4 linked regions of the Anolis sagrei genome follow. The protein of the gene in region 1 interacts with the protein of each later gene in a pairwise test. Links are inferred from orthologs where the notes say so. Each region holds a gene or a part of one and is shown in the gene's direction. Other genes may lie near its edges.

The links.
Region 2: the proteins of TCEANC (region 1) and TARBP2 interact in binary tests that used the Homo sapiens proteins (3 or more experiments, as listed by UniProt). The two-hybrid records come from large-scale screens. The link is inferred for Anolis sagrei from reciprocal best matches to the Homo sapiens genes TCEANC and TARBP2.
Region 3: the proteins of TCEANC (region 1) and ATXN1 interact in binary tests that used the Homo sapiens proteins (3 or more experiments, as listed by UniProt). The link is inferred for Anolis sagrei from reciprocal best matches to the Homo sapiens genes TCEANC and ATXN1.
Region 4: the proteins of TCEANC (region 1) and zinc finger protein 397-like interact in binary tests that used the Homo sapiens proteins (3 or more experiments, as listed by UniProt). The link is inferred for Anolis sagrei from reciprocal best matches to the Homo sapiens genes TCEANC and ZKSCAN7.

Annotation. Positions count from the first base shown.
Region 1 is NC_090023.1:91,729,817-91,736,906, reverse strand, and holds the start of TCEANC (transcription elongation factor A N-terminal and central domain-containing protein), read left to right. Parts: upstream 1-4,084; 5' UTR 4,085-4,173; intron 4,174-4,509; exon of another isoform or gene 4,510-4,595; intron 4,596-4,792; 5' UTR 4,793-4,854; coding exon 4,855-5,008; intron 5,009-6,262; coding exon 6,263-7,090.
Region 2 is NC_090022.1:190,334,387-190,341,893, reverse strand, and holds the start of TARBP2 (RISC-loading complex subunit TARBP2), read left to right. Parts: upstream 1-4,503; 5' UTR 4,504-4,586; coding exon 4,587-4,648; intron 4,649-7,507. UniProt on the Homo sapiens protein: Required for formation of the RNA induced silencing complex (RISC). Component of the RISC loading complex (RLC), also known as the micro-RNA (miRNA) loading complex (miRLC), which is composed of DICER1, AGO2 and TARBP2.
Region 3 is NC_090024.1:81,545,369-81,553,192, reverse strand, and holds the start of ATXN1 (ataxin-1), read left to right. Parts: upstream 1-4,810; 5' UTR 4,811-5,116; intron 5,117-7,824. UniProt on the Homo sapiens protein: Chromatin-binding factor that repress Notch signaling in the absence of Notch intracellular domain by acting as a CBF1 corepressor. Binds to the HEY promoter and might assist, along with NCOR2, RBPJ-mediated repression. Binds RNA in vitro.
Region 4 is NC_090022.1:14,843,290-14,850,486, reverse strand, and holds the start of zinc finger protein 397-like, read left to right. Parts: upstream 1-4,196; 5' UTR 4,197-4,314; intron 4,315-5,665; exon of another isoform or gene 5,666-5,666; 5' UTR 5,667-5,865; coding exon 5,866-6,516; intron 6,517-7,197. UniProt on the Homo sapiens protein: May be involved in transcriptional regulation.

The DNA of each region.
Region 1 (7,090 bases):
TGGAAATAAGTTCAATAAAATCAATCAATCAATCAATCAATCAATAAATAAATAAATAAAGAGAAAGGAACCTCGCAGACCAGATTTTTGTCATCACTGCCCACTGGATGGTCCGTGGCCCACAGGTTAATAACCACTGACCTACAAGAATATGAAGCAATATCTTTGAAAGAATGTTTTATTTCAAGCAACATATAGGGTACAGTGGAGTAAATGTAATTGTATAGAGCCATGGTAAGGAACTGCAAATGGGCTGGGTGTTCAATCCACATCTTCTACCCATACATAGTTTTCCCCCCATATCACCAATTCATGCCCATGTTTTTGTTGAGATTCCTCTCATCATTGCAATAAATTTTCATACTATGTTTGCCAGAGGTACTTTTTACATAATAGCATTCTCTCACATTGCTGGATCAGGCTGTTTCTCTGTCTTGTTGTAATAAGAGAAATGAAGAACATAATCCAAAGGGGAATCAGCATATTTAAGACCCTGAAATCAATGGACGTAAATGTATAACTTATATGTGCCTATATGCAAGAAAACATATGTTTGGTTCCATCTCTCTTGTGTGCATTTTTGCTTAAGTTATTCATATTTCACTATGGGGAGAAAGTGTATTCTGCGTGTCAAAATATGAAAAATGTGAATTGCCTTTTGTCCTCCCATTATTCTTTCTTCTAATCTGTAGACACAAAATGTTCTTACAAAGAAGCACTGTAATTAATCCTCCTCACAAGCGTCCATAGTTAACAGAATACATGAAACAGATATTTCTGTGCTGAATGATGTGTCCAAGTTCTATTGTTTTTGGGACTTATTCAAGTTTTAAAAATAAATAACAAGATGTATCTTCAAATGTTTAATATTAAATCTGATGACAGATATGTACTAAAAATTAGAAAAAAACATTTCCAAAAGCAGTGTGATCTGTATAAGTTACGAATTGTAAACTTGAAAGAAGTTATTTTGAAAACACATACTATTTGTGCTCTGTGTGCATTGCATACTGTTTTTCATTAGAATTAAGCTTGTATTGTAACTGAAAAGACAAGAAAAAGTTACAAAAATGTTGGTGTTGAACAAGTATTTTCTTGTGCTAGTGAAATGGGGAATATAAAATTAGAACACATAATCTTCATTTGCTGGGTTGTTGTAGGTTTTTCAGGCTATATGGCCATGTTCTAGAAGCATTCTCTCCTGATGTTTCACCTGCATCTATGGCAAGCATCCTCAGAGCATCTTTAACCCTATCTTTAATCCTCTTTTGCTATCCACCGACATTCTGTTTTTTGTTCTTGAGTTGAGAGTAAAGCAACTGCTTTGGGAGACGGTGATCAGGCATTCGGACAATGTGGCCAGATCAGTGAAGTTGCTGGCGGAGTATCATCACTTCAATATTGGTCGTCTTTGCTTCTTCCAGAACGCTGATGTTAGTCTGCCTGTCTTCCCTAGAGACTTGTAAAACTACACCTATGAGATACTAGGATTGTCTAGTCGAGTACTACTCAAAAGTGGTGGTCGACAATGACCACCAGGGAAAAAAGAATTGCTCCACACAGGAAAAAAAGAATTGCCAATTTCTCACATCACAGATTGGCAATTTTAAGAAGTACTGATCTGTTTTAGTTACATGTGGAAATCTGCCGAGGAATCTTAACACAATCACATTCCATTTCAAAATGAAAAGATTTTTGTAAAGAAAGGTGAATGGAGAAATCAAAATAATAAGTTCTCTCCAAATACTTTAGGACTTACTTTAAACCAAATTAATATAAACTCAGCTAGATTCCATGACACAAGTCAGGAAAGGAACAAATCATCAAGTTGGAGGTTTTTCCTTTACATCTAGCTTCACTTTTTTTTCAATACAGCGAGTCAAGTTAAATGTTCCTCTCTACTAAAAAGTCAGTCCCAAATGGCATTCCTTACAGAGCACAGATAGGCCTAATGCCTTCTGGCTGAGTGGGAGCCAGTGGGAGCATACATAGTAGTGTGGAATAGCTGTGATCTAAATCTGATCAAAGTACATTAATACGGGATATAATGTTTAATACACCCAATGGTGCCCTCTTCTGGTTTGTTAAGGTTTAATGCAGAAGCACGAGGAACTTTCAACTTGTTTTGGGCCCCTTCCACTCAGCCATATAACCCGGAATATCAAGGGAGATAATCCACAATACCTACATTGAACTGGATTATCTAAGTCCACGCTGCCACATAATCCAGTTCAATGTGGAAGCTGAGCATTGGTGGAGGTTTCTTTCTTTTTTGCAGCATCCTTACAGATACCACAGCAGGGTACAGATATAGTTAGAATAATAAAATCTAATTGACACTGAATAAACTGGGAACATAAAAATGAAAAATGAGCACCCAACCCAATAGCTTAGAGACGAGAGGTGAAGAAGGCACACAAGAGAAATGTTTAAATATTTGAAAGGACATCATATTGTTAGCTGCTGCTTTGGAGACTAGGACACAATGGAGCGGTGGATTCAAATTGCAGGAAAAGAAGTTCCACCTAAACATTAGGAAGAACTTTCTGACAGTCAGAGGAGCTTTTTTGGCAGTGGATGTATGGCACCTGGGATTTAATGGCAGTCCCCCATCCAAGGACTAACCAGGACTGACCCTGCTTAGCTTCCAAGGATACGATTTCATTGTAGAATTGGCTCAATCCTATGGAATCGTGGCTGTTGTAATTTTAAAAGGTTTTTAGCCTTCTCTGCCAAAGAGCGCTTTAGCCTTGTCAAACTACAGCTCCCAAGATTTCCCGAGCATTAAGCCATAGCGGTTAAAGTGGTTTCAGGCCACATTGTTTGTACACTGTAGATAAGTGTTTATCAGAAGAGGTCATGAGGAGGTGTCAGAGGGGTCGCCAAAGACCATCAGAAAACAGTATTTTCTGTTGGTCATGGGGGCTCTGTGTGGGAAGTTTGGACCAATTGGTGGGGTTCAGAATGCTCTCTGATTGTAGGTGAACTATAAATCTCAGCAACAACTCCTAGATGTCAAGGTCTATTTTCCCCAAACTCTACCAGTGTTCACATTTGGGTATGTTGAGCATGTGTGCCAAGTTTGGTCCAGATCTATCATTGTTTGAGTTCACAGTGCTCTCTGGATGTAGGCGAGTTACAACTCCCAAACTCAAGGATAAAGGCCACCAAACCCTTCCAGTATTTTCTGTGGGTTCTGTGTGCCAAGTTTGGTTCAATTCCATCATTGGTAGAGTTCAGAATGCTTGTTGATTGTAGGTGAACTATAAATCTCAGCAACTACAATTCCCAAATGTCAAGGTCTATTTTCCCCATACTCTACTGGTGTTCACATTTGGGTATGTTGAGTATTTGTGCCAAGTTTGGTCCAGATCCATCGTTGTTTGAGTCCACAGTGCTCTCTCTGGATGTAGGAGAACTACAACTCCCAAACTGAAGGTCAAAGCCCACCCTGCTCTCCCTGCTCTCGCTCCCACCAGCGTCACAAATATGCCTGGTGGGGATGAGAGACAGGACCTTCTTGGCTGTAGCTCTCCACCTGTGGAACTCGCTTCCCAGCATTTTCTGTGGGTCATGGGAGTTCTGTGTGCCAAGTTTGGTTCGACTCCAGCATTGGTGGAGTTTGATTGTAGGTGAACTATATCTCCCAGCAACTACAAATCCCAAATGACAAAAATCAATCCTCCCCCAATCCCAAATTTGGGCATATCGGGTATTTGGGCCAAATTTGGTCCAGTGAGTGAAATTACACGCAGCATATCAGATATTTACATTACAATTCACAAGTTTGTAAAATGACAGTTATGAAGTAGCAACAACATTAATTTTATGGTTGGGGGTCACAACATGAGGAACTGCATTAAGGAGTGGCGGCATTAGGATGGTTGAGAAACACTGATGTAGATAAACTCACACCAAGGTTTCAAGGGCTTTTTATTTCCAAGTCAAAAGAGATATCAGATATTCTAAGAGATATCAGTACAATTGCTCTGACGCAATTGATAGCCCTCAGCAACAGCGGCTGCGCAAAGACACAGCCCACGCCGCGCATGCTCAGATTGCCCAACGAACCGCAAAGGTTCTTTCCAACTCACGCATGCGTGGTAGGAGCCCGAGCAGGAGAGGGGCGGGGCCACGGAGGGTGAGCTGAAAGGCCTCCTTAGGAAGGATAAGGTGAGCAGATGAGGAGGGATTTAATCATACCTTTCGGGGAAAAGTGACTTTGGGATCATATTTCGAATAATTATACATATCCTTGTTTATAAGAGATGAGTAAAATCCTCGTGTTCCCATCTGTTGTGGCCTCTTCCAGTTTTGTGATTCTATATGTGGAGTAGCCTTATTGACCATGAAACAAAATCCCAGATCCACTTTTATTAGGTCAGCCAGAAAGTGCAAAAATCATGATGTGCTAACTTTTGAACCACTCTGGCTCAACAATAGATGGATTAATAAGATTATGTAAAGACAGATGTTAGAGTTACAGGCCTACATTTTGCTTGTTTCGAGATGTTACAGAAATAGCAAGTTGTGCAGACAAATCCAGGCCCTGGGCCTCCCCTCCAAAAACAAAGCAACAAAAGTAATAAAGCAAGGTATTAAAACTACTATCCTCCAGCTGTTAATAGTGCCTTTGGGGACTCAGTAGTGCTTCCTATTATGTCCTCCCTTGAGACCCTATGTTTGGTACCAGCAGTCTTGGCTCCATATGACAAACAGCCTTTCATATGGTTTGGATCTCAAGAAACTCTGTCATATTGAAGTATTGAAGGATAATTAAGGTTTTCCACAGGTAACCTGTTATTATTTTGGTAGATGTGATTATGCTAACTCTGGCCCAGCTTACTTGTCTGAATGCATATTCCGCTACGTCCCGCCTTGCAGTTTAAGATCATCTGGGGAGACCCTGCTCTCGCTCCTGCCAGCGTCACAAATATGTCTGGTGGGGATGAGAGACAGGACCTTCTTGGCTGTAGCTCTCCACCTGTGGAACTCGCTTCCCAACGAGGTAAGATCAGTTTCATCCCTCCTGTCTTTTAGGAAGAAATTGAAGTCGTGGTTCTGGGACCAGGCTTTTGGACAGCAGGCATAAATAGCGCTTGGATATGGAATTTGACTGGAATGGTTATACGGCAGTTAATACTGTTTTTATTGTTTTAATTAATGTTCTATTATTGTTTAATTGTTGTTATATTGCTTTGTTATATTTAATGGCATCAAATTGTGCGAAATGTAAACTGTCCTGAGTCCCCCTTCGGGGGTTGAGAAGGACGGGGTAGAAATATTGGAAATAAATAAAATAAATAAATAATCCAGTGTTTCTCAACCTTCCTAATGCTGCAACCCCTTAATACAGTTCCTCATGTTGTGACCCCCTAACCATAAAATTATTTTTGATGCTACTTCATAACTGTAGTTTTGCTACTGTTATGAATCGTAATGTAAATATCTGATATCCTGATGTATTTTCATTTACTGGGCCACACTGGGCACACAAACCCCATACATCCAAATTTGAATACTGGTGGGGGTTTTTTTTGGGGGGGGGGAGTAGATTGATTTTGTCATTTGAGAGTTGTAGTTGCTGGGATTTATAGTTCATCCATTTCTTTTTACTTTGAACTACACTGTAATAAATTATCCGATTTACGTAGTCATTCTACATAGGGCTGCAACGTTACTCATTTTGTTTTATGCATTTAAAATAATTATTTCCTACTAGGACAAGGTCCCCTGGTGGCATAGCAGGTTAAACTGCTGAGCTACTGAACTTGTTGACCAAAAGTTCAGCAATTCGAATCTGGGGAGCAGGGTGAGCTCCTGCTGTTAGGCCCACCTTCTACCAACCTAGCAGTTCAAAAACATGCAAATGTGAGTAGATCAATACCTGCTTCTGCGGGAAGATAACGGTGCTCCATGCAGTCATGCTGGCCACATGACCTTGTCTACGGACAACACAGGTTCATCGGCTTAGAAATAGAAATGAGCACCCCCCCCCCCCCCAGAGTCAGACATGACTGAACTTAATATCAAGGGAAACCTTTACCTTTATCTTTTCTCCTAGGACATGACAATAAGCATCAAGAAAACATATGACATTCCAACAATACGTTGGTTGAATGTTGGATGAGACATTTATTGAAAATCCATCTATTCATCCAGAAAAATGATCTCAATTTGATTACATTTGTTGTGTCTGTATTAATATAGAGATGTATGTATAGTGCCTTCAGAGAAACATAATTCTTTCCATTTCTTTCAGGATTTGAAATGTCTAATACAAAAGTCCTCACATCTAGAGCTGACTGTATAGAGAAGCTACTGTCAGAAAGAAAATACCAAGATATTGGGATTCATCTTACATATCTTGAAACGATTGATATCACTATAGATGACTTGCAAGAGACTGATGTGGCCAAAGCTGTGTTCAGAGTCTTCAAGAATTGTCCCTCCGTGGTCCTGAAAAAGAAGGCAAAGCACTTGCTCTCAAAGTGGAAAGCAGTTTATAAAAAGCATTGCAGTCCATCAGTACAACTTCATTTGGGGTTATCTGAAAATGCAAATGAGGATTCAGATCATCTTCAAGTAGTCTCTGAAGATATAAACCCTTTGGGAAAATTGAACCAGCAGGAAAAATTGTGTCCTGCCAGTCCCAGTCTGGCATCAGAAAGCCCTTCAAGTAATGCTGGAAGTTGTGTGCAGAAAGATAATACAACGGAACCAGATCTGGGAAACGCCAATTCTATTAGTGAAACAGGCCAACAGTATAGTCCCATTGTGGCTGTGAGGGCGAAATGCACACAACTTCTTTATGAAGCATTGACTGATTCCTCAACAAGTAATGAAGAAATTGCAAAGCACCACAAAACAGCTGAAGAAATTGAACAACACATTTTTGCACTTCATGCTAACAATGATAAAAAGTACAAAAATTGCATCCGGAGCAAAGTTTCCAACTTGAAAAATCCAAAAAATTCTCACTTAAAACATAGCCTGCATATTGGAGTTCTCACTCCTCAGACATTTGCTAGTATGTCTGCAGTGGAAATGGCACATGATGAACTAAAGCAGCTTCGGGCTTCGTATACAA
Region 2 (7,507 bases), on another chromosome or scaffold:
AGAAGAAGACCTACAAGCCAGTCTAAACACCTTTGCAGAAGCATATGAGAATTTCGGCCTGTCATTAAACATCGCGAAAACCAAAGTGCTCTTCCAGCAGTCACCAGCCAATCCCTCTCCAATGCCAGAAATACAGCTTAATGGTGTAACATTAGAAAATGTTGACCATTTCCGCTACCTTGGCAGCCACCTCTCCACAAAAATCAACATTGACACTGAAATATCGCCTGAGCTCTGCAAGTGCAGCATTTTTCTGAATGAAGCAGAGAGTGATTGAGAACCAGGACATCCTTAGAGATATAAAAGTGCTTGTTTATAAAGCTATTGTCCTCCCAACCCTGCTATATGCCTGAAAAACGTGGACTGTGTACAGATGTCACATGCAACTCCTGGAACATCAGCATTGCCTCTGAAAAATCCTGCAAATCTCTTGGGAAGACAAGCAGACAAATCCCAGAGAGCAGAAGAAGCAAATACCACCAGCATTGAACAGAGTTGATGGCTCCTATGCCATCAACTCTGCTGGACTGGCCACATTGTCTGAATCCCTGATCACTGTCTCCCAAAGCAGTTATTATACTCCCAGCTCAAGAACAGGAAACATAACATTGGTGGGCAGGAAAAGAAATTTAAAGATGGGCTTAAAGCTAACCTTAAAAACTGTGTTAACTGGGAACTAGGAAGCCCTGGCCCTTGAGCGCTCTAACTGGAGGTCAGCTGTGACCAGCAATGTTGGGGAATTCGAAGAAGCATGAATGGAGGGTGAAAGAGAGAAACATGCCAAGAGGAAGGCATGTAAAGCCAACCCTTATTGGGACGGCCTTCCATCTGGAAATCAATCAAGAATATACCTCTATAGTCACCTACGGATCCACCACTAAGACCCTACATTTGGAAGGCAATCATACTCAGTCACAAGTGACAGCCTATGATGGTGATCCATCAGAGTTAGGCCTCTGTTTTTAGACATCACAGAAGGGGAGGAAATAGCTAGTTATTTTACAGTATATTTAAAATACAAATACTTACTGCCAAATAGAGAGAAATAAGTGTATCATTTTCTACAATTATATTTCAGCTCAAATATCTTTTGAGATGGGAAGAGGGGCTGCATCTTGCTTTGCTTAAGGCAGGGCATCTCAGTCTTAATGTCCTAAGCCAACATGGCACAGTTATATATAGAGTGCAATCCTATTATTCAAAAGTCAGAGCAGTGGAGTTCACAAAGGCCCCATCCACACTGTAATCCAGTTCCTGAATCCAGATTATCTGCTTTGAACTGGATTATATGGCAGTGTGGACTCAGGGCTCTTCCACACAGCCATATAACCCAAAATATCAAGGTAGATAATCCACAATATCTGCTTTGAACTGGGTTATCTGAGTCCACACTGTCATATAACCCAGTTCAATGCAGATGTGGGATTTTATACAGCTGTGTGGAAGGGGCCAAGGTATAAGGCTATAGAATGGCCACATTACATTTTGTTTTATTTGGAGAAAAGATTTAGACTGTAATGAGATGGGATAAGAAGAAGCCCTACTGAATCAATCTGTGGTCTGTCCTCAGTTTCAAGAGCACAGCCTCAACTAGCACTCCAAACGACTTAGGTGTCCACTCAAAAGCCCAGGAAGCAATGCAAGTAGGAGGCCACAATTTCCTACTACAAAGACTTTTATTGTAGGCCACAGCAATAACATCAAAATGCATATAGAAATGCAATCAAAGGTTTTGTCACAGCCTAAAATGGGGTTGCAAGGCCTTTTTATCATTTTCAAAGAAAATTGAAAACACATTCTCATTGGTGTTCAAATATCAATCATTTCATTGGTCTAAACTGGCTAATACAAATTTCATTGGCTCTCTATGACTTTGACAGGCATGAAGACACACATGAGATCTTAACAATGGCACAACTTTAATCTATTGGTCTCCAACTCTGGCTGTCTAAATGAATCAGTCTTACCTGTTCTTCTGTTGCAAGCATAACTCGATTGGGAAACTAGCTAGCCAGTTTTGTCCTGATGTACTGTTATCCTTGAAAAGTAACTTACCCTCTGCAGCAATATTTTTCCAAACCATCTGCAAACAAAGGCCCTCTGCAAAAGCAGGCACATATGGCAGTTCGCAGCTTGGGAGTTCTCCTGGACTCATCACTGAGCCTGGAATCCCAGGTTACAACGGTGGCCAGGGAAGCTTTCGCACAATTAAAACTTGTACGCCAGTTGCACCCGTACCTTGGGAAGTCAGACTTAGTCATGGTGGTCCACACTCTTGTTACATCCAGGATAGACTACTGCAATGCATTCTACATGGGGTTGCCTTTGAAGACTGCTCGGAATGGGACGGCATACAGGGAGCATACAACTCCCATGTTACGCCAGCTCCACTGGCTGCCAGCTTGCTACCAGGCACAATTCAAAGTGCTGGCTTTGGCCTACAAAGCCCTAAATGACCATGGCCCAATGTACCTGTCCGAACACATCTCCCCCTATGAACCATCGCGGAGATTAAGATCCTCTGGGAAGGCCCTGCTCTCCACCATTGTCACAGGCACGATTGGTGGGGACGAGAGAGAGGGCCTTCTCGGTGATGGTCCCCCAGCTATAGAACTCCCTTCCTGGTGAGATCAGATCGGGCCCCTCCCTCCTGTCCTTCAGAAGGATGGTAAAAACTTGGCTGTGGGACCAAGCTTTCGGGACAGGGCAATAAAGCAATAGGAAATTTTACCGGCCAATTAGATTTGGCGCAGATGACCAAGACGATTTTAAATAGTAATAATAATAATAATATTTATTTATTTGATCAGTCATATGACCATTTCAAAATAGAACACAAGTAAAAAAACAAGGCAACAAGGTGATAAGTCTGGTTCTTCTTTCAAGAAATCTGCTCTTTTCTTAATAGCTTTCAGAATAAAAAGGCTTACTCTGATTATGTTGGATCTTTCCTGACCTTCAAGAGGGATGTCAGAATATCATTTCTGTTGGGGGACCTGCAGTTGGATAATATTGGATGTAAATATCTGTCTCGCAGTTCAATGTATGCTGGACAGTCAATTAAGAAATGTTCAATGTCTTCCACTGTTTGTTCTCCCCAGACGCAGAATCTCTGGTTTTAAATAGTGTTTTTTTTAATATTGAAATAAATGTTTTTTTTAATGTTTATGTATGCATATAATGAAATCTTGTCCCGGCATTGCATGTTTGCCATATATATGCTGTGCTCTACCCTGAGTCCCCTTCTGGGTGAGAAGGGCGGAATATAAATGTTTTAAATAAATAAATAAATCAGGACAATATGGGACATTGGAAGCATCCCTGAAAATACCCCTTTAAAACTACGTCTCTCTCATCAGGGTGCATCGAAAGGTCTCCTCGCACTTGAGCATTTATCCACTTTAATCCACTTTAAATACTGCGACTGCCTCCTGCAGAATTCTGGGATTTGTAGTTTAGGGAGTGGGCTTTTAAACTGCTCATCCAGAGAAGCCCTGGGCCTCCCTAAACTGCAAGCCCAATAATTCTGCTTGAAGCAGTCATAGCATTTAAAGTGGACTAAAGTGGACAAATGCTCAAGTGTGTTTTGTTGTTGTTCATTCATTCAGTCATTTATGACTCTTCGTGACCTCATGGACCAGCCCACGCCAGAGCTCCCTGTCGGCCGTCACCACCCTAAGGTTGTTAATGTTTCTTCCAGCAATTTTTACCCCAGCCTTGCATTCGTCAAGCCCTGCACATTGCATGATGTGTTCTGCATGCAAGTTGAATAGGTTGGGTGCGAGTAGACAACCCTGCCGTACGCCTTTCCCAATCTTGAACCAGTCTGTTGTTCCATGGTCACTCAGTTCTGACTGTTGCTACTTGGTCCTTATACAGATTCCTCAGGAGAAAGATAAGGTGATTTGGTATGCCCATACCATCAAGAACGTGCCACAATTTATTATGATCCTCAAGTGTGGGGAGGCCCTAATTCATGCACTTGCACTTCCATGGCTCAGAATTGTCCTTTGAGGCTTCTCTGCCAAAGAGGGCTGGTGCCTCACCAAACTATAACTCCCAGGACTCTATAGCATCCAGCCCTGGCAGTTCCAGTGGTCTCAAACTGCATTTCTTAATCTCCAATTAGGCAACGAATCCTGGCTAATAAATTACAGCAGGCATGGGCAAACTTGGGCCCTCCAGGTGTTTTGGACTTCAACTCCCACAATTCCTAACAGCCTATCGGCTGTTAGGAATTGTGGGAGTTGAAGTCCAAAACACCTGGAGGGCCCAAGTTTGCCCATGCCTGAGTTACACGCTTAGGAGACTACTACTCCCAGCATGCAGCGCGAACGAGTTTCGCGCGTCGACACTGAGAAAAGCCGCTCTCCGCGGCCGAAAGGCCTTGTGGGTGTTGTAGTTCTTCAGCTGATGTGGCTCGAGGGCCGGGAGCCGGGTGCGGACTCCATCTTCCAGGATGCGCCTCGCCGGGCGTGGAGGCGGTGGAGGCGACGCGGGGCCGTGGCTTCCTCTTTCCCGGCCATTGTCAGCCGGGCTGGAGGGCGGCAAGCGTTGTGGTGGCGGCGGCGGGGCAGGAGGAGGGAATGAGCGAGGAGGAGGCGGAGGAGCCTTGCGGGAACGCGAGGAGCGGCGGCGGCGGCGGCAGGTGAAGGACGCGCCGCGCGGGTTTGTTGCCAGGGGACACGCCCCGCCCCTTTGGAACGCCGTTGCTAGGCTACACCCGTGCCCGCGAGGCCCCACTTAGTAACGCGTTGCTAGGAGAGCGGGAAGGCCCCCGTGGGGTCGCCCTCTTTATTTAGGCCTGTTCCCTGCCATTGGTTAGAGAGGTTCAGAGGCAGCCTTCTTCCCATCCCCTAAAATCTGGGAGATGCGGATTCAGGTCCCCACAGAGCACACCCACATGAAATCCCACATTATCTGCTGTGAACTGGAATATATGGCAGTGTGGACTCAGATAAGTTAGGGCCCTTCCACATAGACATATAATCCAGAATATCAAGGCAGAATAACCTACAATATCTGCTTTGAATTGGGTTAGCTGAGTCCACACTCCCATTCAGTCTATGGGCCCTTCCACTAAACCCTATATCAAGGCAGAAAAAAACCCACAATATCTGCTTTGAACTGGGTTATCTGAGTCCACACTGCTATATATTCCAGTTTAAAGCAGAAAATGTGTGGTTTTATTCAGCTGTGTGGAAGGGGCAGATATTGTAAGATTTTCTGCCTTGATATTCTGGGATATATGGGTGTGTGGAAAGGCCTAGGCCCCTCAGATAACCCAGTTCAAAGCAGATATTGCGTAATTTTTTTTGTTGTGTCAGGAGCAACTTGAGAAACTGCAAGTCACTTCTGGTGTAAGAGAATTGGCTGTCTGCAAGGACGTTGCCCAGGGGACGCCTGGATGTTTTGATGTGTTATCATCCTTGTGGGAGGCTTCTCCCATGTCCCCACGTGAGGAGCTGGAGCTGATAGAGGGAACTCATCCGCGCTCTTCCCAGATTCGAACCTGCGACCTGTCGGTCTTCGGTCCTGCCGGCACAGGGGTTTAACCCACTGCGCCACCATGGGCTCCATAATTGTGGATTATCTGCCTTGATATTCTGTGTTATATGGCTGTATGAAGGGGTCCAGAGCCCGGGCAATTCCAGTGAGACCAAACCACATTAATTCTGCTATGTAGATGCATCCCTGGAGCTCAGTGGGACCCCTTCTACACTACCATATAAAATCCAGATCATCTGCTTTCAACTAGATTATATGGTAGTGTAGAAGGGGTCTGGGTGACCTTGGGTTAGTCATTTGTGAGGCTAAAGCAAAGAGGAAAGGAGCCAAAACACATGAAGCAGAAGTCCATTGGCAGGGACCAATGGTGAAAAACATGTTTCACTCATTTATTTATTTATTTTTGTTGTTGTTGTTACATTACAATTATTACATGTGATTTTAATTGGTGTTTTAATGTCATGTTTTTAATGGGTTTGGTTTTAATATTTTTGTATATTTACCAATGTATTAATATATGACATTGAATTGTTGCCTTCGTAAGGCTGCCCTGAGTCCCCTTCGGGGTTGAGAAGGGCAGGCTATAAATGTGGTAAATAAATAAATACATTACAAAGTTGTATTGCAGTCCTCTGTATTTCCTGGAGTTAGGGGCACAGGAGCCCGTGAAAGTGAAAAACCATAAATAAAGAAATTACTATATATTTTTCCTCAAAGGCCCCTTCTACACAGCTGTATAAAATCCACTTCGAACTGGATTATATGGCAATGTGGACTCAGATAACCTAGTTCAAACCAGATATTGTGGGTTATTTGGCTATGTGGAAGGGCCCTATGAGAAGACTTGGACAAATTTGTTTAAATTTAAGAAATTAAAAAAAATTCTAGGGATTTCTAGGTCTTCCAGCATGACTTTACAGTCATCTTTTGCTAAAAGCTGATAATAGAACTTCATAGGAGGATCTAAAGCAGAGGTGTGTTGCAACATGTTAATGTGTTGGCTGCAGTGTGTAGCTGTGTTGCACAAATGTAATGAAAAATCTCTGAGTTTATGCAAAATAAGCAATAAATAATATATTTCAAAAATATAAAGGAAAGTTTTTCATGATATACGTTGTGTCTCCATACATTTCATTATTACAGTGTATATATGTGTCCTTATTTATTGTGCAAGGTTGATGTAACCTCCAGTATGCTAGTAAAACTGGGTCACAAAATGATGCCTGTCTAAAAAGTGTGTCATCAACATGAAATGTTTGGAAAGCTCCTATCTAGACATTCCTAGAGAGACTCTTTCTGGAAATCTTTGGGTGCTCCAGCAGGACTGGAGGGAGTTGATCATGAAGTCAGACTGGAGGACCTAGAGACTCCTAGAGAGAACATTTCAAATCAAATCCATGAAAAATCCACAGAAGTAAATCCACAAAACATGGAGAGGTGACTGTATGATTAAATATATCTAATAGATGATTTTTGCCTCACTCTGTACACAACAGCCATGTACAGTGTCCAGTTCATTTCACCTCTCGTGACTTAAGACGTGGACTTGAAGGGACTTGAAAGCAACCAATCCTCTCTAAAAGAGAGGGGAGGGGTGAAATCCTTTTGCTATGAGTGCAGTGGATTCTATGTGACATAAGAAAGAATACAGGAGGGGAGAGAGTTGTTTTCTGATCTATTAATTTAGTATATACCTCACTTTTCCCTCTGCAACAGATCCAAATTGCTTGGATATGTCTATGCATGTTTACAAAGACACTTGTACATAGTGGGAGTGGGGTTGTGCAACATTTCAAAGTCTGGCATACTTCATCACGGGGCTTAAATAGAACTGCAGTTTGTCAGATAATTTTTCTATCCAATCTATATAAAACTAGGCCCTTTTGCTCACTCATTTTGATGTAAAACACAGAACTTATAGCTCTTTATTGCTGTATTGTACAAAAAAAAATCAACATACCTCTTGAATCAGAACATGGAAAAGTTCCCATTTTTGGAT
Region 3 (7,824 bases), on another chromosome or scaffold:
CTTAGAAGCAGTGTACAAACCATTAACACAGGACTTCTAGTTTATCAGGTAATCTCCCTTCTCTAAGGCTGTGTCACAACAAATACTTGAAATAACATTTTGTTCTCTGGCATCCTGATCATTTCTTTTCTGGACAGGTATGCTTTCTCCAGAAGTTACTATAGACTTGAGTAGAAAGATCTAGAGATTTCTAGAGGAGTATGGTATGGGGGGCCGCAGTAGTACAGTTGCTTAAACCACTAAGCAGAACTTGCTGATCAGAAGATTGATGGTTCGAATCTGCGGATGGAGTGAGCTCATGTTGTTAGCCCCATTTTCTCGTAACTTAGCATTTCAAAAACATGCAAATGTGAGTAGATCAATAGGTACCGCTTCAGTGGGAAGGTAACGGTGCTCCATGCAGTCATGCCGGCCACATGACCTAGAAGGCATCTACAGAGAACGCTGGCTCTCCAGCATAGAAATGGAGATGAACACCCCCCCCCCCCCAGATTTGGACATGACTAGACTTAATGTCAAGGGGAAAACTTTACCTTTTTAATGGTATGCTAGGACCAGAAGTCAGGGAATTTAATGGTATCCAGCCATATCTGTAGTTTAATGTAACTGGTCCAGCAAGAAATGTATCTCAGGGAGACTGGGGTCTTATTCTAGTTATACACTTCTTGATGACATTAAATTAGTACATATTTTTGTCCATTGGATCTTAATTTTAACTCAGGTATACTTTAACCTGGCTTGCTTATGTTTCTTTTAGGAACCCCTATAGTGCTAGTGGAGATCATGGTTTCAAACATGGATTTCTTAAAGGGCCTTTCCATCTCTAACAATGGCATCTTATAGTCCTAATTGTTGTCAGAGAATATTCCTCTGGAAGTTCAGGATCTCAAAGTTGTATCTTTTATTGATTGCAATGAGTTTGGTGGTTCTCTGGTAAATAAATAAATACATACATACATATATACATACATACTTTATTTATATACCGCTCTATCTCGCTGAGGGGGACTCAGGGTGGTTTCCAAGTAACATCACAAAAACATACAGAGTAAACAGCATGACATAAAATTAACAAAACAACATAAGCATAAAATAATCACAATAACACATATATATTAAAAAATAATCCTGCCTGTTCAGAGTTATTAAAAGGTTGGGCCAAGGCTAGTGCAAACTCAAAATATGAGGGAACCAAGAATTAATTACAGTGCTATAACAGGCTAACAACAACAGCAGGTACGAGTCTGCGGCTGCTCATTTCCAGGGCATTTTAGAGGGATGACCAGGGTAATAGATAGGAAGTATAAGGCCATATTCAACAATGTTTGGGGCTGAGCTAGAACTGCTCATTCTCAAAGGCTTGTTGAAACCACCAGGTCTCCAAGCTCTTACGAAAGGAGGGGAGGGATGGGGCCCGTCTTATTTCCTTTGAAAGGGCATTCCAGAGGCGGGGGGACACCACCGAGAAGACCCTTCTCTCTCATCCCTACCAATCGTACTTGTGACATTAGTGGGAGTGAAAGGAGGGCCTCTCCAGAAGATCTTAGAGTTCATAGATGGAGATGCAATCGCGTAGATAGGCGGGGCCTGAACTGTTTAGGGCTTTATAGGTCATGAAAGAAAGAAGTTGTTAGCATAAGCTTTCATAGGCGAAGTCTGCTTTATTCAATGCGTGGAGTAAAGTTCCTAGAAACAGATATTTATATCTATGACAAATAAGTTAGCTTGCTATTCTTCCATATGTGGAATTACAGGTTGCTTACTTGTAATTGCTTTTCTTTGGTTATTCAACTCTTCCTTCTCCACTGCTACTGTTTTCTCTAGAGTGTAGAAGACGTCTGATCTGGAAGTTACTTGTATAAGGTCTGCTATGCTGTTCTTCCACAGATGTGAAACTTTCCTTTAGTCCTACTGAAGAAGCTTGAACTGCAAAGGTTTATCTTCCTTTCTTCTGATCTCATTACTTTTGCAATTTCCTTCTGGGTTTCTGATCTGTCCTGTTAACTTGCCATCTCTTGAGGTTATTGCTTGGTTTGTTATGATGCAACAATTGCCTTGCAATCGTCCTGGAAATGAACTTGTATATCTGAGGTCTTGGGTGGTATCACATGGGTGCCTTTTCGTTTTGTCTCTGAATGAGCAAAGGTTTGCATACTTGGGAGCCAAAATCCTACTGCTTGGGGAGAATGAGAACTTGTAGTTGTGAAGTTGACAAGCAAATTTTAATATATTATGTACCCTAGGATGTTTCTACCGCACATGTTCCCTGATAGCTATTAATTATGCCATGCTGCACATATGCCAATGTGGAAATGGACTGAAATCCACAAAGACTCATGCTAAAATATATCAATTAGTGTTAAGATACTGCAAGATTCCTTCTCCTCTCCTACTCTTCTTTTTATCACATCTATCCTGTTTTTAATAATTTAAAGGCTTGCATTTCCCCCTTCAAGAAATAATAAAAAATAAAAAAGCTGAGTCTAATAGAATGTGTCAGATTGAGAGAACACATTTTCAGAAAATAAAATGCCGATCTGCTATTCTCTCAGTTCAGTACAAGGAGTTGCTTCCTATAAGGCTTCTCTCTTGGCAATGGCTTACTTTCAGTGATAGTTACCAGAGCAGTACCAGTAACTAAATAAGATTCCTCAGCACTGGTTTGAAGAAACTTCATCTTTATTCCTCATCTTCTGTTGTCAAGGCTGTGTTTTCTTCCTTTCAACAACAGTACAGCCTTGAATGGGCAACTGGCTTTTCAACACAATGGCTTTGTAACACAACATGATTCAGCAGTCGGTTCTTTACCACCAGTACCTTTCCCCACACAATATATGTTACTTGCTTGTTATTTATGCTTACATCTTTTCTTAGAAAGCACTTCTGTTCTGGAGAATATCATCTTCTCCCATGGACTAAACATACATATTTTGCTGGGGCTCTGCAATGCCCTCTTATAGTAAACATAAAAGTTTTCCTTTGACATTAAAGTCTAGTCAAGTCTGACTCTGAGGGGTGGTGCTCATCTCCATTTCTATGCCGAAGAGCCGCCTGTTGTCTGTATATGTCTCCAAGGTCATGGGGACGGCATGACTGCACAGAGTGCCGTTACCTTCCTGCCAAAGCAGTATCTATTGATCTACTCACATTTGCATGTTTTTGAAATACTAGGTTGGCAGAGCTGGGTCTAACAACTGGAGCTCACCCTGTCCCATGGATCTGAATCACTGACCTTCCGGTCAGCAAGTTCTGCAACTTAGCAGTTTAACCTACTGTGCCACCGTGGCCCCTGCCCTCTTATAGGATCATGCTAAACACAGATTGTATATTCACAATATCACACTTATTCGAGTAGCAAGTGTGCTGTCTTTTGGGTGCTGTAGTATGTCTGTGAGCACCTTAATATCCCAAATGCACTGAATCTTGTCTGATCTTGGAAGCTAAGCAGGGTTGGCTTTGGATAGTACTTGGATGGGAGACCACCAGTGAACACCAAGCGCTGATTAAGCTATATTTTCAGAGGCAAAACTATTCCTGACTGTTCCTTGCCTAAGAAAACGCTATGAAATCCACAAGGTTGCTAGATGCTGACCAGCAATTTGAAAGCACACGTAGCATGTTTACAGCATGGGTGCTCTATTTTGTGAACACTTGAGGTGCCTATAAATTGTGTTGTTGAAGACTTTCATGGCCGGAATCACTGGGTTGCTGTGAGTTTTCTGGGCTGTATGGCCATGTTCAAGAAGCATTCTCTCCTGACATTAATAATAAATAAATAATAAAACTTTATTTATACCCCGCCACCATCTTCCCGAGGGACTCGGAGCAGCTTACATGAGGCCAAGCCCAACAACACATCAAAAACAACAAGCAATAAACAAAATCAACAATAAAATTTATATAACTCATAAATAGACAATAACACACAAGAATTTAAAAATCTATGGCTGGGCCAAATGTAATAGTTAAAACTTTAAAAATAAATGCTGGACATGAGCAGAGGATGTATCTATTTGGAGGGTTTTAAATCAAAAGTAAAGAGCAACCCAACGGGTAAAGTGCTTCTCAGAGTGTTTGCAGGGGATTTCACCCAAATCTATGGCAGGCATCCTCAGAGGTTGTGAGGTCTGTTGCAAACTAGGCAAGTGGAATTTATATATCTGTGGAATGTCCAGGGCGGGAGAAAGAACTCTTGTTTGAGGCAGGTGTGAATGTTGCAATTGGGCACCTTGCTTAGCACTGAATAACCTTTCAGCTTCAAGGTGTGGCTGCTTCCTGCCTGGAGAGAATCCTTTGTTGGAAGCTGCCTATAAATTGTAGAATTATTTCAGTTTGGCAGCACTAACTGCCACGGCTCAATGCAATGGCATCCTGGGAGGTGTAGTTTGGCAAGAGAACGCTAAAGATCTTATGAAACCACAACTATGATTCCAGAGTCATAGGCAGTTAAAGCAGTCACTAACCAACTGCTTTAACCTTGCAGTATGTATGCACCCTTGGAAATCATTGGAATAATGCATTTAGAGGGCCCTTTGTCAACCTGTAAAGGGCCAGAGTTGCTTGCTCCAACTCTGGTGTGTGTGCTATAATGATTTCTGAATGAAGTGTGGCTATGCAGAGGAGAGTCCCAAAGCCAGGGTGTAGTAGTAAACAACAGCAACCACCAGAGTATTTCCCTTCCTGGAGACTGAGGGAGCAGCCCCTGGAAAGGGTTAAGGCTGGTTCCGCCAGGCTCTGTTGTGCGTCTGCTATAATCTGTGTGGCTCTCTTGGCCGCCTGACAAAAGTGTTGCCTCCTTCTCCTCCCTCCTTCCCTCCCCTTTTGCACGGAGAAGTCGAAGCCTTGAAGCCGATGCAGAGGCAGCCAACTGCTCCATATTTGGCTTCTCTTCCCTATTTGCATACAGTCCTGGGGAAGGAGAGAGAGAGAAGAAGAAGAGAGCTGCACCGCAGACATCACTCCTACTCCAAGGGCCGAAGGAGAACAGCCGTCTCGCAGGGAGGGGGCACGAGCAATAATTAGAATAATTATTATATATGATACCTCCCTCCCTCCAAAAAAAAAAGCATTTTCAGAAAACAAACCCCAGCCCTTTGCGATCAGCTGGCGAGACACTGTGAGTCTTTCCCCTTCTTCTCTCCCTCTAACTCCCCCTCCCCCCCTTTCCTTTCCCACTTTTACACAGTAAGTGTAAAACAACCCCCCTCTGCTTTCGCTTCTCTCTCTTTCTCTCCCCCCCCCCCCTTTAATTCCTTCCTCGAATGAAAAACCTCCAGCGACTTCCAGCTGGAAAAACACACGGGCGGCTGCTTCAGAAGGAGGGAGGGAGGGAAGGAAAGGAGGAAGGAGAGAGGAGAGTCAGGCAAGGCAATGGACTGTCACCTCTACAGCTGGAAGTCCCTCTTTTTCTAGGATCGCCCCCCTTTTCCTGCCCCATCCTGAACTGGAGAGGAGGGAGGGAAGATGGTAAAAAAAAAAAAAAAGGGGGGGGGGAGCCAGGGAACCCTGTCGTACTGCTGTGATTTATTATTATTATAACATCATTATCCACACTTATCCCAGTCAAAAGGGGAGGAAGGAGGGGAAGAAGGCAAAGAGAACCTTGTTACTGCATTATTATTATTATTATGCATTATCATCAACACCTAAACCCAGTCAAAACTGGTTAGGGAAGCAAAGAGGGGGACCCCACTTAAAGAACATTGTCATTACTGTATTATTATTATTATTATTATTATTATTATTATTATGCATCATCATCAACACCTAAACCCAGTCAAAACTGGTTAGGGAAGCAAAGAGGGGAACCCCAGTTAGAGAACATTGTTGTTACTACATTATTATTATTATTATCATTATTATCATGACCATCATTCACACTTAAACCCAGTCAGAATTGGTTAGGGAGTTAGATAACATTGTTGTTACTGCATCATCATCATCATCATCATCCACACTTAAACCCAGTCAAAACTGGTTAGGGAAGCAAAGAGGGGGACCCCAGTTAGAGAACATTGTCCTTACAGCATTATTATTATTATTATTATTATTATCAGTATCATTATCATCATCATCATTCAAACTTAAACCCAGTCAGAGCTGGTTAGGGAAGCAAAGAGGGGGACCCCAGTTAGAGAACATTGTCCTTACAGCATTATCCTTATCATCATTCACACTTATCCCAGTCAAAAGTGGGGAGGGAAGCAAAGAGGGAGACCCCAGTTAGAGAACCTTATCCTTGTGAGTGCTGCAATACTATCATCATCACCATCACCATCATCATCATCATGATCAACACTTAAACCCAGTTAAAACAGGTTAGGGAAGCAAAGAGAGGGACCCCAATTAGATAACCTTGTTGTTACTGTGTTGCATTATTATTATTATTATTATTATTAGATACACAAGATCAGTACACAGCAAACAAGATCACTATGCTGGCTGTTACCCCCTTCCCTTTTTATTATCATTATTACCACCACCATCATCATCCACACTTAAACCCAGTCAAAACAGGTTAGGGAAGCAAGGAAGGGGACCCCAGTTAGGGAATCTTGTTACTGCTGCAGTACTATTATTATATGCACAAGATTAGTACACAGCAAACAAGATCACTATGCTGGCTGTTGCTTCCTTCTCATTATTATTATTATCACCACCACCATCATCATCCACACTTATACCCAGACAAAACTGAAGGAAGCAAATAGGTAAACCTTGGTTAGAGAACTATGTAGTTACTGCTGCAATACTATCATCATCATCATCATCATCATCATCATCAACAACACTTATCCCAGTTAAAAGTGGGGAGGCAGGAAGGCAAGAAGGCAGAGATAGCCATGTTACTGCATTATTACTATTATTCATCCACACTTAAACCCAGTCAAATCTGGGGAAGGAATCAACATTGTCATTATCTTCATCATCATCATCCATATTTAAGCCAGTCAAAAGTGGGAAGGCGGGAGGTGAAGAAGGAAAAGGAAGCCTTGATACTATATTATTATTATTAATCCACATTTAAACCCAATCAAAACAGGGGCAGGAATCAGCATTATTATTATTATATTAATCCACACTTAAAACCCAATCAAAACAGGGGCAGGAATCAACATTATTATTATTAATCCACACTTAAACCCAATCAAAACCGAGGCAGGAATCAACATTATTATCATAATCATCATCATTTACACTTAACTCAGTCAAAACCGAAGAGGGGCAAAAGGGGGAACCTAGTTTGGCATTATTATTCTTATCCTTATCCACAGTGAAGCCAGTCAAAACAGGGGAGTCAGGAAGGGAAGAAGGCAAAGGAAGGAGGGGGGCAGTCAGGGAACCTTATTATTATTGCAGTATTATTATCCTCCACACTTTGGCATTGAATGTTTGTCACTCTGTTACTTTGGCTGAGTCCCACTAGATAGAGCGGTATATAAAGTATTATTATTATTATTATTACTTGGGAGTTGGGAGTGCAGAGGTGACCCATGTCCTCATAGTCTCCCTAAAACAGGCCTGGGCTAACTTGGGCCTTTTCTCCAGGTGTTTTGGGCTTCAACTCCCACCATTCCTCACAACCTCGGGCCCCCTCAGCTTAAGCGGCTGAGGGAGAAAAGGAAGGGGCCTGAGGCTGTTAGGAATGGTGGGAGTTGAAGCCCAAAACACCTGGAGGGAAGGCCCAAGTTGGTCCTAAAGTACAGGAGGGGTAGTGCCTCCTTGTTTTGTGGGTGGCCTGGTGGGGCCAGAGAGGCCTTGGTAGTAGCGGTGCTTTCCTTTCACTTTGCCCTTTCGCGAGAGAGAGAGAGAGAGAGACGAGGA
Region 4 (7,197 bases), on another chromosome or scaffold:
AAAAAAAACTATGGCCATCTGGCCATAGCTTTGCTTGATGTGGGGAGCTACGATGAAATCTATCATCCTTTGAGCTTTACACTTCAAGCCTTTCCAACACAGATATTCCTAGGTTACTGTTTAGGTGCAGCACCACAGACAGCTCCCTTGATGGGAAGGCTAAAATCCAAGCCTGATGATTGCTCCACTGACATAGAATGAAATGTGGATGAAAGCAGCTAAATCACTCCCTTGGGCACAATCATATTGCAAAGATTGCATTTTTTGATCAAGAGCAAAAGCAATATAATGGTATTATTGCTTCCCCTCCCTCTTCTCTCCCCCGAAATCTACACTTGTTTTCTGCAGCCCTGGAGACCAGGACGGGGAACAATGGCTTCAAACTGCAGGAAAGGAGATTCCACCTGAACATGAGGAAGAACTTCCTGACTGTGAGAGCCGTCCAGCAGTGGAACTCTCTGCCCTGGAGTGTGGTGGAGGCTCCTTCTTTGGAGGTGTTTAAATAGAGGCTGAATGGCCATCTGTTGGGGGTGCTTTGAAGGTGATTTTCCTGCTTCTTGGCAGGGGGTTGGACTGAATGGCCCATGAGTTCTCTTCCAACTCTATGGTTGTATGATTCTATGCTTTCTCATAAAATACAAACTGATGTGGCAATAATGAAACTAGAGAAATCAAAGCTAAAAATGTACTCCCTCTGTATTTAGAAATATGCTTCTGCTAAGGGTCCGTCTTGTCTGGAACATTTGTGGTTAGCACCTTAAAAATGTGCAATTAACAACTTTCACAAGACAGTTTAGGGTGAAGGCTAAAAAGCTGACAAAGTGTCTATTGCTGTATGGGGGGCGGGGAGCAATTTGGGTCTTCTACTTTCCATTGTCAAAAAAACATGTGATTTACAAGAAGTCAGTTAGTCAATGTGACAAATAAGGAATTAAGCTTAGGTGGTAGTCTGCAGTTGGATAATTTTTGCTGCAGTGCCAAAGAATATTGTGAGTCTTGTCTATATAATATGAGTTTGAGAGACACTGGGTGCAGCAGCCTCTTGAAAGTACCAAGACCTGCATGTTTGGTACAGCTGGCCATCTCTTCATGATCATGATGAAATAAAGCTTGCTTTTGTTCTACTCCTGAGACTGGCTGTTTGTCTGTTTGCCACCTGCCATCGGGCATTCGGTTGGGACCAAGTTTGGGGGTCCCTAAAAAACCATTGTGCAAATTAACATATACTTTCTAGTGAGGTGTACAGTATGTCCTTGGTATCTGCTGGGGTTCGCTTCTAGGACTTGCTTCTAGACCCCAAAATCTCTGGATGGTCAAATCTTATTATAAACAATGGCAGAGTAAATGGGCACCTCTTATATCTCATGGTAAAGAGCTCAAAATAGCACCAGAGAGAGACTGGGGATCTATGAAATGGTGGGACGCTACAGCAGAGTGTGTCAGCACATCAACCTAGTGCCCAGTGTATAGCTTTGGGATTTCCCGCCCCCCCCCCCCCCCAAATATTTTCAAACTGTAATTGGTTTAATTCGTAAATGCAAAATCCATGGGTATGAAAGACTAAATTTACCACCTTGTACCTCCAAACACTTCAAAACCTGGGTTGTTGTAGGTTTTTCGGGCTATACGGCCATGTTCCAGAAGCATTCTCTCCTGACGTTTCACCTGCAACTATGGCAAGCATCCTCAGAGGTTGTGAGGTCTTCAAAACCTTATTGTATCTCTTCCCAGAAGAAATTGGTACTATACCTCCCCACTTTGCACAAGACTGATTCTCCAGAAGGCAATTCTCTACCAAAGCTGCGCTTGTTGTCCCACTACTTGAGCAACACATCTCTCCTTTTCCAGTCAACTCAGAGCATGTCAGTGTCTGGGAAACCACGTCTGCAACAAGGAAAACAGGTTTCCTCTTTCCCAGAAATCCTGTGACGTGACAACATCACTGGGACAGAGATCTAGCATGAGCCAAACTCCAGCTTTCCTTACATGCTCTTCGTTAAGTATTTTTGGAATATAATTTACCATTAGGTGAACCATGTGTGGTCCTTGGGATGCAGAGCTTGGAAAGTGTACTTTTTAAGAAGCCAACCAAGATCTTAGATCAGCTGGCTTACATCTCAGCCCCAACCTACGTTAGTTGGCATCAGCTAGGACATCTAAACCCTAGACGGGCCGACCCTCCTTGGGAAGGAAAACACACGCAGAAAGGAACTGTGGGTGAAGAAGGGAAATCCTCTTTCCCTCTTTCTTTCCTTCGTTCTTTCTCCCCTTCATACCCTCTCTCCCTCTTCCTTCCCTTTTTTCTGTATTGTCATTTAGCTTTTTGGGGGTTTTAAGTCCTTTCTGCTGGGTTTTTTTTTGGTGGGGGGGATGAGTGATGATCACTCGTTGGTCTGTTAGGGGTATAGTGTCCAAATTTCATGTCAATTCATCCAGTGGTTTTTGAGTTATGTTAATCCCACAAACGAACATTACATTTTTATTTATATAGATAGACTACCCCCCGCCACCCTCCGCCATGCATTGATGTGGCCCAGTCTGTGTATATGTGTTTTGTGTGTGTGTGTGTATGTGTATATATGTAGTTTTGCGCATGAGTTGTAATGTATTTTTTAAGTTTTTGGCTTTTAAAGTCTCTTCCACTGTGTTTTTCAGTGTTTTTATGAGTGATGGTCACTCGTTGGCCTGAGAGGTGTATTGTGTCCATATTTGGTGTCCATTCATCAAGTGGTTTTTGAGTCATGTTAATCCCACAAACGAACATTACATTTTTATTTATACAGATAGATTAGCCGTCCCCTGCTATGCATTGCTGTGGCCCAGTCTGTGTATATGTGTTTTGTGTGTGTATGTATGTGTATATGTGTATATATGTGGTTTTTAAATTCTCATATCGTGTCAGCTTTTCCAGTTGTTTCTCTTCAATCCTGCTTTTACCTGGAATTGCAACATCAAGTTGTACATGAGTTGTAATGTAATGTATTTTTTATTTTTTGGCTTTTTAAGTCTCTTCCACTGTGTTTTTCAGTGTTTTTATGAATGACGGTCACTCGTTGGCCTGATAGGTGTATTGTGTCCACATCTGGTGTCCATTTGTCCAGTGGTTTTTGAGTTATGTTAATCCCACAAATGAACATTACATTTTTATTTATATAATTATTCCTGCATGTCAGAAGAGGTTTGAACTGGGTGGCCTTTCCACAACCTACGGAAAGGCTTCCTGTATCTTATATGGTTGTGTAAAAGAGAAGATTACAGCAGCTTGAAACCTGATGTTAGAACAAGCCAAACGCAACGAAATCCCCACTTCTAAAGCTGCATCTACACTGCAAAATTAATGCTGTTTCACACCACCTTAACTGCCATGACTTAATGTTATGATATCATGGGTTATAGTTTGGCAACGCACCAGAACTTTTCTTTTTTGACAGATCTTGTAAATAATAAATAAATACTACATCTCACTGGTATCTCAAGGGTCTGGAGAACAAGCCCTATGAGGAGTGGCTTAAGGAGCTGGGCATGTTTAGCCTGAAGAAGAGAAGGCTGAGAGGAGACATGATAGCCATGTATAAATATGTGAGAGGAAGTCACAGAGATGAGGGAGCAAGCTTCCTTTCTGCTGCCCTGGAGACTAGGACGCAATGGAACAATGGCTTCAAACTACAAGAGAGGAGATTCCATCTGAACATGAGGAAGAACTTCCTGACTGTGAGAGCCGTTCAGCAGTGGAACTCTCTGCCCCGGAGTGTGGTGGAGGATCCTTCTTTGGAAGCTTTTAAACAGAGGCTGGTTGGCCATCTGTCAGGGGTGATTTGAATGCAATATTCCTGCTTCTTGGCAGGGGGTTGGACTGGATGGCCCATGAGGTCTCTTCCAGCTCTATGATGGGATTTATAGTTTGGTGAGGCCCCAGCACTCTTTGGCAGAGAAGGCTACAGACTTTGTAAAACTGCAAATCCCATAATTCTGTAGCACTGAGCCATGGCAGTTCAAAGGGTGTTGAACTCAATATTATTTGAGAAGCATAGAGCAGAGCCAGAGGCTCTCAAAGCTCTTCCTCCTGTTCAGCCAAGGAGGGGTTAAGGTGATAGAGAGCGGGCCCCAGAGCGGCCTAATCCTCTAGCCAGGAAGAAGTGGGCCTCTGAACGTTCCTTCCGGCTTCCTGTTCAGGCTCCTCCCTTTCCGCTCAGTGTTCTTTGGCGCCAAGGGAGAGCCGGAAGAGGAAGCAAGGTTTAACTTTCCTTCCACAGAAAGCCATGGGACTGCCAAGAAATTCTGTTTGACTGTCTTGTGGTGGGAGTAAATTTCCAGGTAAATATTTGGACAGCTACGTCTAGACTAGGTATGGGCAAACTTGGGCCCTCCAGGTGTTTTGGACTTCAACTCCCACAATTCCTAACAGCCTCAGGCCCCTTAAGCGGCTGAGGGGGAAAAGGAAGGGGCCTGAGGCTGTTAGGAATTGTGGGAGTTGAAGTCCAAAACACCCGGAGGGCCCAAGTTTGCCCAGTTTGGGGTAGCCACAAAAACAAAGTTTCTGGAGTATAACAACTATTTCCATAGTCAGTACCACACAATTAAACAGGAAATAACACGTTCAAACCAGGAACAGAATGTATTTTTTCAAATCTTGTTACATTTATTTATTTGTTTACAACATTTATATGCTACCCTTCTCACCCCGAAGGGGACTTAGAGCGGCTTACAAGATATATATAGACATACAATATATTGTACTGGTCCATTTAGTTTTCTAGCGTGGGCTGGTCCATGAGGTCACGAAGAGTCGGAGACGACTGAACGAATGAACAACACAATATATTATATTATTAGCATAGTACAGGGTGAGGCAGCATAACTTCCTTTTTCAAAACTTAATAAAATCCATTGTATGAATCAGAATTTTTAATTTTTTTTAATAATGTAGGCGCATACCTAACATTTTGTTTTACGTAGTTTTGAAGGTCAAATTTGATATGTGACGTCTCCCATTCTCCATACACTGAGTAAACCAATTTCTGGCGTTTATCATGACTCTTGCCAGCATAGCAGGCGTTATGTTGGCAATTTCTTCCTGAATATCGGTCTTCAAATCTTGTAGGGTCCTTGGACAGTTCACTAAACATGTGATTTCAAAAAAAAAACCCATAGAAAAAAATCACAAGGGGCCAAATCTGGAGATCCGCTCGGGCCGGCCATTCCAGATCCACTCGAAAAGTAGGCCTCAAGGGAAAAAGCACGCTCCTCACTGTTCCAATGCATGATGGCGACTGAACTGTGTCAGGACAAAACTTTATACTCCCGCCTCTCTAATGAGACCACTAACTCTCCGCTATGTCTTCAACCAACTGAATGACGCACATTTAAAAAAGGAAGTTATGCTGCCTCACCCTGTACAATATTAGTATTATATATTATATTGTACTATACCATTATATTGTAATATTATTAGTAAAATTACATGTAATATAAAATATACAATTATAATATTGTATTATTATTAGTATTAGTATTATATTGTATTACATTATAATATTATAAATATTATATGTATATGCAATATATTATAGATTGGAGATTACTTACTTCTTATTTGCCCATCTTTAACAGAAAAATTCTCAGACATTTTAGACTTCAATTTAACAGCCTGTGTGTTTTTCTCTTAGGAGCAAAAGGCAGGTATATCTTCTGGAGGAATGGCTGGCTCACACAGATTTTATCAAGTCCTGGGCATTTAGCTGCATTTCTTGAAGAAGTGTGTCTGTGGATGAGTTGACTTTTTGAATGTTATGAGAAGAAGACAACCTAAGGACTGGTGCTAAAAAGCAGGAAGAGAGGCACAAAACAGGTTTCTTTGGAAAAGAAATGGCTGCAATACAAGAAAGAGGGTCCACTGGATTTCTGGGTCCAGTAATAAAAATGGAGGTGGAGGATTCAATAGGTCCTGAATCAGAAGAGGCCAAAGTAGGAGCACCTCTACCAAAAGGGGGAAGTGGTGGAGGAGAATCAGAACAAACAGTAAAACAGGAGTCAGAAGAAGAGCCGTCAAGGATCTGGGATGCTCAGTTGGAAAAGTTTCTGAGAACACTACAGTCTTCCTCTTCTGGAGGGGAGACACTCCAACAATCTCACCCTCAGGAGCTTCAGGTAGTGACTATGGATGATGAAAGCCATCTGGATGCCAAACATTCTGGGAAAGAGGAAACAGCAAGTAAAGGTGCTGTTGAGTTGGAGATACAGCGCCAGCATTTTCGGATGTTGATCTACCAAGAAGGCGAAGGGCCCCGAAACTTCTGGGGGAATCTCCGGAAACTCTGCCAGAAGTGGCTGGTGCCGGAGAGACGCACCAAGGAACAGATCTTGGACCTGGTGACGCTGGAGCAGTTCCTGGCTGCCCTGCCCCCAGATATGCAGAAATGGCTGAGGGGGCACTGTCCACAAACCTGCTCCCAGGCTGTGGCCCTGGCAGAGGATTTCCTTTTGATGCATCAAGGGCCCAAAGACTGGGAAGGGCAGGTGAGTTTTATTTTCCAGTTGGTCTTCTCAATGTCCTGTTGTCTTCACAGTCACAAGGTACAACCTGAACACTTAGTAGCCTTGACCTTTTTGTTACTCTTGGTTATCTGGTGTCTTTATCTGAACAGGAAAAGACCTCTTTATTTAGGGAGGATTTCAGTTTTTATTTTTTGATTTATTATTTACCATATTTGTATACTGCCTTTCTCAGCCCAGAGGCAACTCAAGGCGGTTCACAGTTGGCAACAATTCAATGCCACGACAATTAAAGTTAATTAAAGCAGCCATAAATACTATTAAAACGTTTAGCATATAGTATAAAAAACATTATCATAAACGTCTCCTTACACCTTTAATCAAATATGTTGTATCTATAGCGTATTGTTTTCCAGGTATTCTTTTTGACCAAAATTTGTGGTGGTTTCTTTCTGTGTTGTCTTTGAATATCCTTTGTTATCAAGTGTATTGTGAATCCTTGAATCCTATACTAAGATCAAGGTGGGGTATATATTTATCAATAATACTAGCGAACACATATTTTGCTACCTCAAAGGTTAGTCCTGTTTCTGGGGATATTTGACTTGCTGATTCCAAAAATGCAACCAGTTTCCCCTTTTCAGTTTTAGTTTTTGAGATACAGAACATATATTATTATTATTTATTATTACGGTCGCTTATACC